Callithrix jacchus: one gene and its partner. The protein of the gene in region 2 interacts with the protein of the main gene of each other region in a pairwise test. Links are inferred from orthologs where the notes say so. Each region holds a gene or a part of one and is shown on either strand. Other genes may lie near its edges.

The links.
Region 1: the proteins of RPA1 (region 2) and RPA4 interact in binary tests that used the Homo sapiens proteins (3 or more experiments, as listed by UniProt). The link is inferred for Callithrix jacchus from reciprocal best matches to the Homo sapiens genes RPA1 and RPA4.

The regions. Positions count from the first base shown.
Region 1 is NC_133524.1:93,083,862-93,087,469, reverse strand, and holds RPA4 (replication protein A 30 kDa subunit), read right to left. Parts: upstream 2,128-3,608; 5' UTR 1,722-2,127; coding exon 936-1,721; 3' UTR 555-935; downstream 1-554.
Region 2 is NC_133506.1:66,416,360-66,420,881, forward strand, and holds the start of RPA1 (replication protein A 70 kDa DNA-binding subunit), read right to left. Parts: upstream 2,884-4,522; 5' UTR 2,767-2,883; coding exon 2,734-2,766; intron 1-2,733. UniProt on the Homo sapiens protein: As part of the heterotrimeric replication protein A complex (RPA/RP-A), binds and stabilizes single-stranded DNA intermediates that form during DNA replication or upon DNA stress.

The DNA of each region.
Region 1 (3,608 bases), on a different chromosome or scaffold from region 2:
AAATCACAAAGGAAAGTTAAGATTTTGTAAAACTATTTTAATACAACATTTGAATAAGTCTGTGTCAAACTCAGTAAGTTTCATATTCCTATGACTTGTTTCCCTAACCTCCTAAAAAGTACCCTGTTATACATAAAACAGAGCATTTAGTAAAATACAGAACATACCAGCACATAAATCTTACAGAAACTCTGGCATCTATTTACCATACAACTACCAGAAACTGTAATTTCATCAAATACCACATCATATTTGAAATAATCATTAAACTTACCCACATTAAAAAACTATATTCAAAGATAACCTGGCAAAAATGATTTATTTAAACACAGTATAATCTTATTTTAAGAAAACATAAATTCATAGTAATAACAGCAAATACACAATAAATGAACTGAGCATTAGAATTCACAAATAAGTATCTTCAGCTCATTTGAATTAATCAAATACTAAATACTATATTGAGCAAGAGATAACAATATCACTATAATAAGCTATATCTAAACATGGAAAATAAGTCTAACATTAAAAACAAGCAATGCTTTTTTTTTTTTTCTCTTAGCTGGCTCCCTGAGTGCAACTAGTTTTTCCCAATACATAGATATTTTGGAAAAAGAAGTTCGAACACAATTAAATAATAAATTTTAACATTTTCTGTAGTTTTTCTTCCCCCAAAATCACCATGTTTCCATTAGCTTGCTTGTAAATCCTACAAAGAGTTCAGTCATTTTATCCATTACCATCTTGAGCTTCAAATATAGCTAGAAAAAAAGAAAAGTTCAAAGTAGTTGGAAAAGCAGCGAGTTGCTGAAGAATGCCAGTTGAGTTTTTTTTTTGTTGTTTTTTTTTTAGTCCTTCCTAAAAAGTCAACAGGTCAAAATTACTCACAGCTGGATGCAAGGGTCTTCAGAAAATAAAAGGATGGTTTCCCTGTCTCAATCAGCAGACTTAAAATGCTCCCGATCCACAGTGGGATAGATGTGGCCCTCGAGGGTCAGATAATCAATCACTTCCTTGATGGCCTGGATGCTGAGGTCGCAGAGCTGAGCCTGGAGCTCATGGATGCTCCTCCCTTCCTGACGAGGGCACTCGTGAATCAAACGCAGCACTTCATCCCGGATGAAATTGCGGCGACTCTCATCATTATCCCCAGCATCATCTACTTCTGATGGAGACACAGGCACACTTTCTAGAGTGGTATCACCACGGGCTTTATACAGCATCATGTGTGCACTGACCGTTTCCAGAATATGCACGGTGAATTCATTCATGTCCTCAAGGACATAGATTTTCAATACTTCAAGGCTCTTGGTTCCCGCGGGACATTTGAGGATACCAAACACTTTCACATATAGTCCGACTGACAGTGGAGTCAGCTGCTTGACTTTCTCTCTACCAAACCACTGTCGGGCCTCGATTGGCTTCGCAGTCATATCATCAATTTTGTAACAAATGTGATTTGAAGCCTTCTCTGCCTCTCTGATTACCCCCACGACGGAGACCTGGGAAACTGTAATTCCCCTAACCTTGAACACAGTATCCAACACAGTAGAGCTCAGCAGCTGGTACACATTACACGGTACGATGTTCTGGATTCGGACCCTCGGTCTTTGGGTCTTAACAACAGGAGCTGCACCTCTCTCAGATGGTTGGTCACTGCCTCCACTCGCTCCACTGGCAGCAGAAATACTGCCATAGCTCCCAAACCCACTCTTACTCATCTTCAAAACGGCTCAGGCCAAGGAGAAGGTGGGCTTTGGCTTGTCCGGGGCTCCACTGAAGGCTTGGACCTCTCCACAGAAGACTCCGAGCTCTCCACAGAAGACTCCGAGCTCTCCACAGAAGGCTCCGATTGAATGCTGGGAACCTGATGCTCGGACAAGCTTCACGCTACCTGTGGGACCAATCAGCTACCAGAATGCATCTGCTTCCAGCCAATCCGGGCTTGCCACCTTCTCACCTGATCTGATAATCCTTCCCTGTGTGCCAGTGATTGCTACATTCTAAAAGTCCCACACGAGGGGACCCTTGTTGCTTAGCTGGTCAAAGCGCCTGTCTAGTAAAAGTCCCACGTGTCTTTCAAAGCCAGCCTTTCTTGCAATCTCTATCAAAATGCATTTTTACTAGTCTCCCCTCTTTATTTCTTAATGCTGCAACTTCTGCAATCACTTTTAAAAGACGCATTTATTCACTGAAACAACAATGCAACAGAAATTTTAGGAGCACAAAGTGCTTGGCCCAATGGCAGAGTGCTGTACGTTATGTGCAAGGGGAAAAATGAACCACTGTGGTTACTGTTTTTAAGAACTCACCTCCCCTGTTCAAACCATTACTAGGAGCATTGGCTGGGCACAGTGGCTCAAGACTGTAATCCCAACAGTTGGGGAGGTCGTCGCAGGAGGATTATTTGAGATCAGGAGTTGAAGACCAGCCTGTCAACGTGGTGAAACCCCATCTCTACTAAAAATACAAAAATTAGCCAGGCGTGATGGTGCACACTTGCAATCCCAGCTACTAGGGAGGCTGAGGTAGGACCATCACTTGAACCCAGGAGGTGGAGGTGGTAGTAAGCCGAGATCGCGCCACTGCACTGCACTCCAGCCTGGGTGGCAAATGAAACCCCGTCTCAAAAAAAAAAACAAAAACAAAAACAAAAACTAGGCAATCGTCTTTCAATGATTATCATACTCTAAGATAAGTCACATCTTAACACTGGCTTTAAAAAATTTTTTCGTTATTTTAAAATTGCAATTTTCCAGCTATTTTGCCAAGTGCACTATAAATAAGTAATTAGTATATTTCAATTTATACATAAATCCAAACTGAATGACTGAGTTCTAAATTATTTTCAAGGCTCTGTGGACAGGATGGAAAAGTACAAGACTTAGGCCTATTATATATTAGGTAAAACATGGACAAAATCACAGTAAGTTTTTAATATGCTCTTACAGAGTAAATTCTGAACTTAAGATTCTAGCAGTTGTATAAACAGAAAAAAAATTTTTTTTTGAGACAAGGTCTTGCTCTGTCTCTCAGGTTGGAGTGCAGTGGCAAGATCTGGGCTCACTGCAACCTCCACTTCCCAGGCTCAGGTGATCCTCCCACCTCAGCCTCCTGAATACCTAGGACCACAGCCACACACTGCCATGTCTGGCAGACTTCTTTGTATTTTTGGTAGAGATGAGGTTTCACCATGTTGGCCAGGCTGGTCTTGAACTCCTGGACTCAAGTGATCCACTTGCCTCAGCCTCCCAAAGTTCAGGGATTACAGTCCTGAGCCACCATACCCAGCCAAGAATTTTTTGATATTTCACCGCAATTTTGTTTTTCTTTATAAAACATTTTATTTTGGGTGTTACTGATTTAAAGTCTTTTATAATGGTTAATAAAGAAACCACAGTTATTGGAATCCACCATTGGCAAGTAACCTCCTAACAATCCTCTGTAGTTAGTTAACAGCCTAAATGAGTAGAGTTTTGAGGAGTTTATTAATGCTCTCATTTCTTTTATTGGTTAAATTATTTTCTCTTTTCTCAAAATTACATAAATGTGTGAAGAATATATATAAAACATAGAAGAACATGGAGTTATACGTACCTTTCAAGTTT
Region 2 (4,522 bases):
CGAGGTGGCTCACACCTGCAATCCCAGCGCTTTAGGAGACTGAGGTGGGTGGATCAGGAGGTCAAGAGATGGAGGCCATCCTGACCAACATGGTGAAACCCCGTCTCTACTAAAAATACCAAAATTAGCTGGGTGTGGTGTCACGAGCCTGTAGTCCCAGCTATTCGGAGGCTGAGGCAGGAGAATTGCATGAACTCACGAGGCGGACATTGCAGTGAGCCGAGATTGCGCCACTGCACTCCAGCCTGGCACCTGGCGACAGAATGAGACTCTGCCTTAAAAAAAAAAAAAAGGTGCAAATTACTGAATTAACATGGATAAATCTCAGAAACCATTTTGGTCCAGAGTGGTGGACTGTGCCTGTAATTCTAACACTTTGGGAGGTCAAGGTGGGAGGATTACTTGGGCCCAGGAGTTCCTGATCATCCTGGACAACATACCAAGATCCCATGTCTACAGAAATTTTTTTTTTTTAATTAGCTGAGAGTGGTGGCCCGCATCTGTAGTCCCAGCTACTCAGGAGGCTGAGGTGGGAGGATGCCTTGACTTGAGTTCAGGAGGTCAGGGCTGCAGGTGAGCCATGACTGGGTCACTGCACTCCTCCCTGGGTAACAGAGATCCTACTTCTGAAAAACAAAAAGTTGCTGAAAGAAGCCAGATATAAAAGGGTAGATATTATTTGATTCCATTTATACAAAGTTTTAAGAAAGTCAAAACTAACCCATAGAGATAGAAACCAGAAGACTGGTTGCCTAGGGTGAAGACAGAGGTGGGGAAGGAGGAGGAACTGCACATTAATGAAGTATTCTGGGGCATTGTGGTTAGAGGGGTGCATACATCTGTCAAAGTTCATCAGGCTGTACACTTAAAATAGGTGCAATCACACTTGTAATCCCAGTACTTTGGGAGGTTGAGGCAGGCAGATCATCTGAGGTCAGAATTCGACGAGACCAGCCTGGCCAACATGATGAAACCCCGTCTCTACTAAAAATATAAAAATTAGCCAGGCACGGTGGCACATGCCTGTAGTCCCAGCTACTCAGGAGGCTGAGGCAGGAGAATCAATTGAACCTGGGAGGCGGAGGTTGCAGTGAGCCGAGATCGTGCCATTGCACTCCAACCTGGCAACAGAGCGAAACCCCATTGCAAAAAGAAAAAAAAATGTGAATGAAAAGAAATTGGTGTCTCAATTTAGCCTAGTAGGAGAAGTCACAAATGAGCTGAGATATGAAGACTGTATTTGCCAGTGTTGGGAGGAGTGAACCACCCAGGCAGTGGGCAGAGGGAAAAGAATGTTCAAAGGCCCCATGGAAGAAGGTAGGAGTATGGAATATACCAGAAATCTAAATTAAAAAAAAAAAAGTGGGGTGACTGGAGAGGAAGAGAGAACAGGAAGAGAGAATATGCTAGGGATGGGAATGGTGGCAGGAACGCAGAGTGGAAGTGAGCAGTCCAGGCAGAAGATGACGGTGCCCGTGTGGTTGGAGAGCAGCAGACAGTCTTGAGAGATCCACGTGGAGGTAAAATACACTTCACCTGGACTGGACGCCAGGTGGTGCAGAATATAGAAGGAATGATTTCTCAATTTCTGGTTAGCACTGAACAGATAATGGTGTCATTCACCGGGATAGGGATCAAGAGGCCCAGACTTTACCAAGATAACGAATTTGCTTTGGGATGTGTATATTGAACTCAAATGCCTCTGAAGCATGAAATCAGCAGACAGATTACAGAAGTTCGTCTTTTAGAGTAAAGGTGGCTCCGTATAAAATTTGTGAGCAATGACATATATTAATAGATGGCAATGAAACTGCTTTGGGGTCAGCCACAGTGGCTCACGCCTGCAATCCCAGCATTTTGGGAGGCTGAGGCGGGCAGTTCACTTGAAGTTTGAAGTTCGAGATCAGCCTGGCCAACATGGTGAAACTCCATCTCTAATAAAAACACAGAAATTAGTCAAGTGTGGTGGTGCACAACTGTAGTCCCAGCTACTTGGAAGGCTGAGGCAGGAGGATCAATTGAACCCGGGAGGCGGACGTTGCAGTAAAACCAGATCGCGCCACTGCACTCCAGCCTGGGGCACGGAGTGAGACTCTGTCTCAAAGAAAAAAAGAAAAGAAAAAGAAATCGCCTTGGGAGTCAAGAGGGCCTATAGTAAGCCTGGAGTCAATAAAAATTTGCAAAGAGGGGCCTGCAAATAAGACGGGGAAAGACCCGCCAAACCGAGCCACTAAAACTCAGTGTTTTAGTGTGATCAGAAGGAAGCGGTGCTCAAACGCAAACGCTACTGAGAACTCAGGTAAGCCGAAAACGGAAAAGTGCTGGATTTGGCAAATTGGAGGCCACTGGTAACTTCAGCCAGAGTTTCCGACAGCGATCAAGGAGATGGCTGGAGTGGGCTGAAGAGTTCATGAGAGGCGAGGAAAAGAAGTGGCTGAAACCAGACAAATAGGAGCTTGCCTGTAGTTAGGAAGAGACAGAGAAAGTGGCCGCAGGTGGAAGATGGAAGGCAAGTGTGTAGTTAGTTCTTAAGTACGAAAAACGTGAGCATGTTTCAAAGACGATCGGAAGAATGCTCTGAGGAGGAGTGATGACTGGAGGGGCGCCCCGCGTTCCCCCACCGTCCCCCACTTCTCCCTCGCGTTCACCCCCTTCGCCCCGGGCTCCCCTCCCCCTCCCCACTCCTGCAGGCTCCCGGGCCGCAGCCACCCGGATCCCCCGGCGCCTCCTCACCGCAATGGCCCCCTCACTCAGTTGGCCGACCATGGCTCCTCCGCACCGACTCCCGCGCGAACCCCTCGGCAACCCGAGCTTCCCACCGCCCCGGGTCCCGAGCGCTGCGCAGTTACCCGCCTGAGGGGTTGCGCGCGCCGTTCCCGCCCCCGACGTGCGCGCGGCACAGGGGCGGGCCCGGCGCTGCGCAGCCGCCGCATTGGCCAAGGCGCGGCCCACGTGACCCTCTCTCAGTACCGAGCTAGGCGGGGCGGGGCGACGCCACAAGGGGTGCGCCTGGAGCTGCGCGGGCGCGGGGAGAGAGCTCCGGGCCCAGTTCCGGGCGCCGAGGGCCGGCGTTCGGAGGCGTTCCCGCCTTGGCGTGTGGTGGGCGCTCGGATTGGCAGCCCAGGGGTTAGAGCTGCTCCCCGAGACCTCTGCTGCCAAATGTGGTCGCAGCAGTGACTCGGCTCCTTCCTCCAGCGGCGCGGGGCTGACTTCCCGCCCGGGTCAGACCCTGAGCTTGGCACCTGCAGGGGTCTGCGAAGACCTGGGCCCGATCCTCCGAGGAGAGTACAGTCTGTGAGGGCAGTCTATGCCGTGAGTAGCCCTACCTCCAGGTGGACGTGGGACAGCAAATGTGCATCATACAGCTTAGAAATAATGGCCGGGCGCGGTGGCTCACGCCTATAATCCCAGCACTTTGGGAGGCCAAGGCGAGTGGATCACGAGGTCAAGAAATCGAGACCATCCTGGTCAACATGGTGAAACCCCGTCTCTACTAAAAATACAAAAAAATTAGCTGGGCATGGTGGCGCGCGCCTGTAGTCCCAGTTACTCGGGAGGCTGAGACAGGAGAACTGCTTGAACCCAGGAGGCGGAGGTTGCGGTGAGCCGAGATCGCGCCATTGCACTCCAATCTGGGTAACAAGAGCGAAACTCTGTCTCAAAAAAAAAGAGATAATAAATGCCAGAAGGCTGGGCACGGTGGCTCATGTCTGTCATCCCAGCACTTTGTGAGACCAAAGTGGGTGGGTCACTTGAGGTCGGAAGTTTGAGACCACCCTGGCCAACATGGTGAAACCCCCTCTCTACTAAAAATACGAAAGTTAGCTGGGTGTGGTGGTGCACACCTGTAATCCCAGGTACTTGGGTAGCTGAGGCACGAGAATTGCTTGAACCTGGGAGGTCAAAGGTGTTGGAATCACAGCTGGGAAATCAGGGAAGCATTCTCAGAGGAGGTGCCATTTGCACACCGTCGAAGACGTGTGGAGGTTTTCCAGGTGGACTCCATAAGCGAGGATAGGGTTGGTGCGCAAAGCGTGAATAGCCTATGCGAAAATACCGGAGAGGCAGAGTAGTCTGGCAAGCCCGACAGCAGTGAGTGGCTGAGTATGCAGGGGTGTAGAGGGAAAAGTGAGGCCTAGAATTAGAAGGTCAGCCAAGGGGTAAATGAGAACGGGTTCGACCTGGGCGTCCTGGATGCTAGGAGGAGCACTGACTTCTTAGTGTTGGAGGCTGGATTGAGAGTGGGAGTGGTCCCAAGGGCAGGGACACTAATTACGACCCTCTGGGAAAAATACCAGACAACAGATGGTAAAGACTTCAAGCGAAGAAATGGCCTATGGGTTCAAAGAGGACGCTGAACTATGAGAGAGAAATAGCTGTTAATTGAATAGTTGTTGGGGGGGGGAGAAAGGAAAATCTGGATCTGTCTCAAGTTTCAGAGTTGAGAAACAAGGCGGGATCAGGCCGGGCGCCTTGGCTCACGCCTGTAATCCCAGCGCTTTGGGAGTCTCAGGCCAGCAGA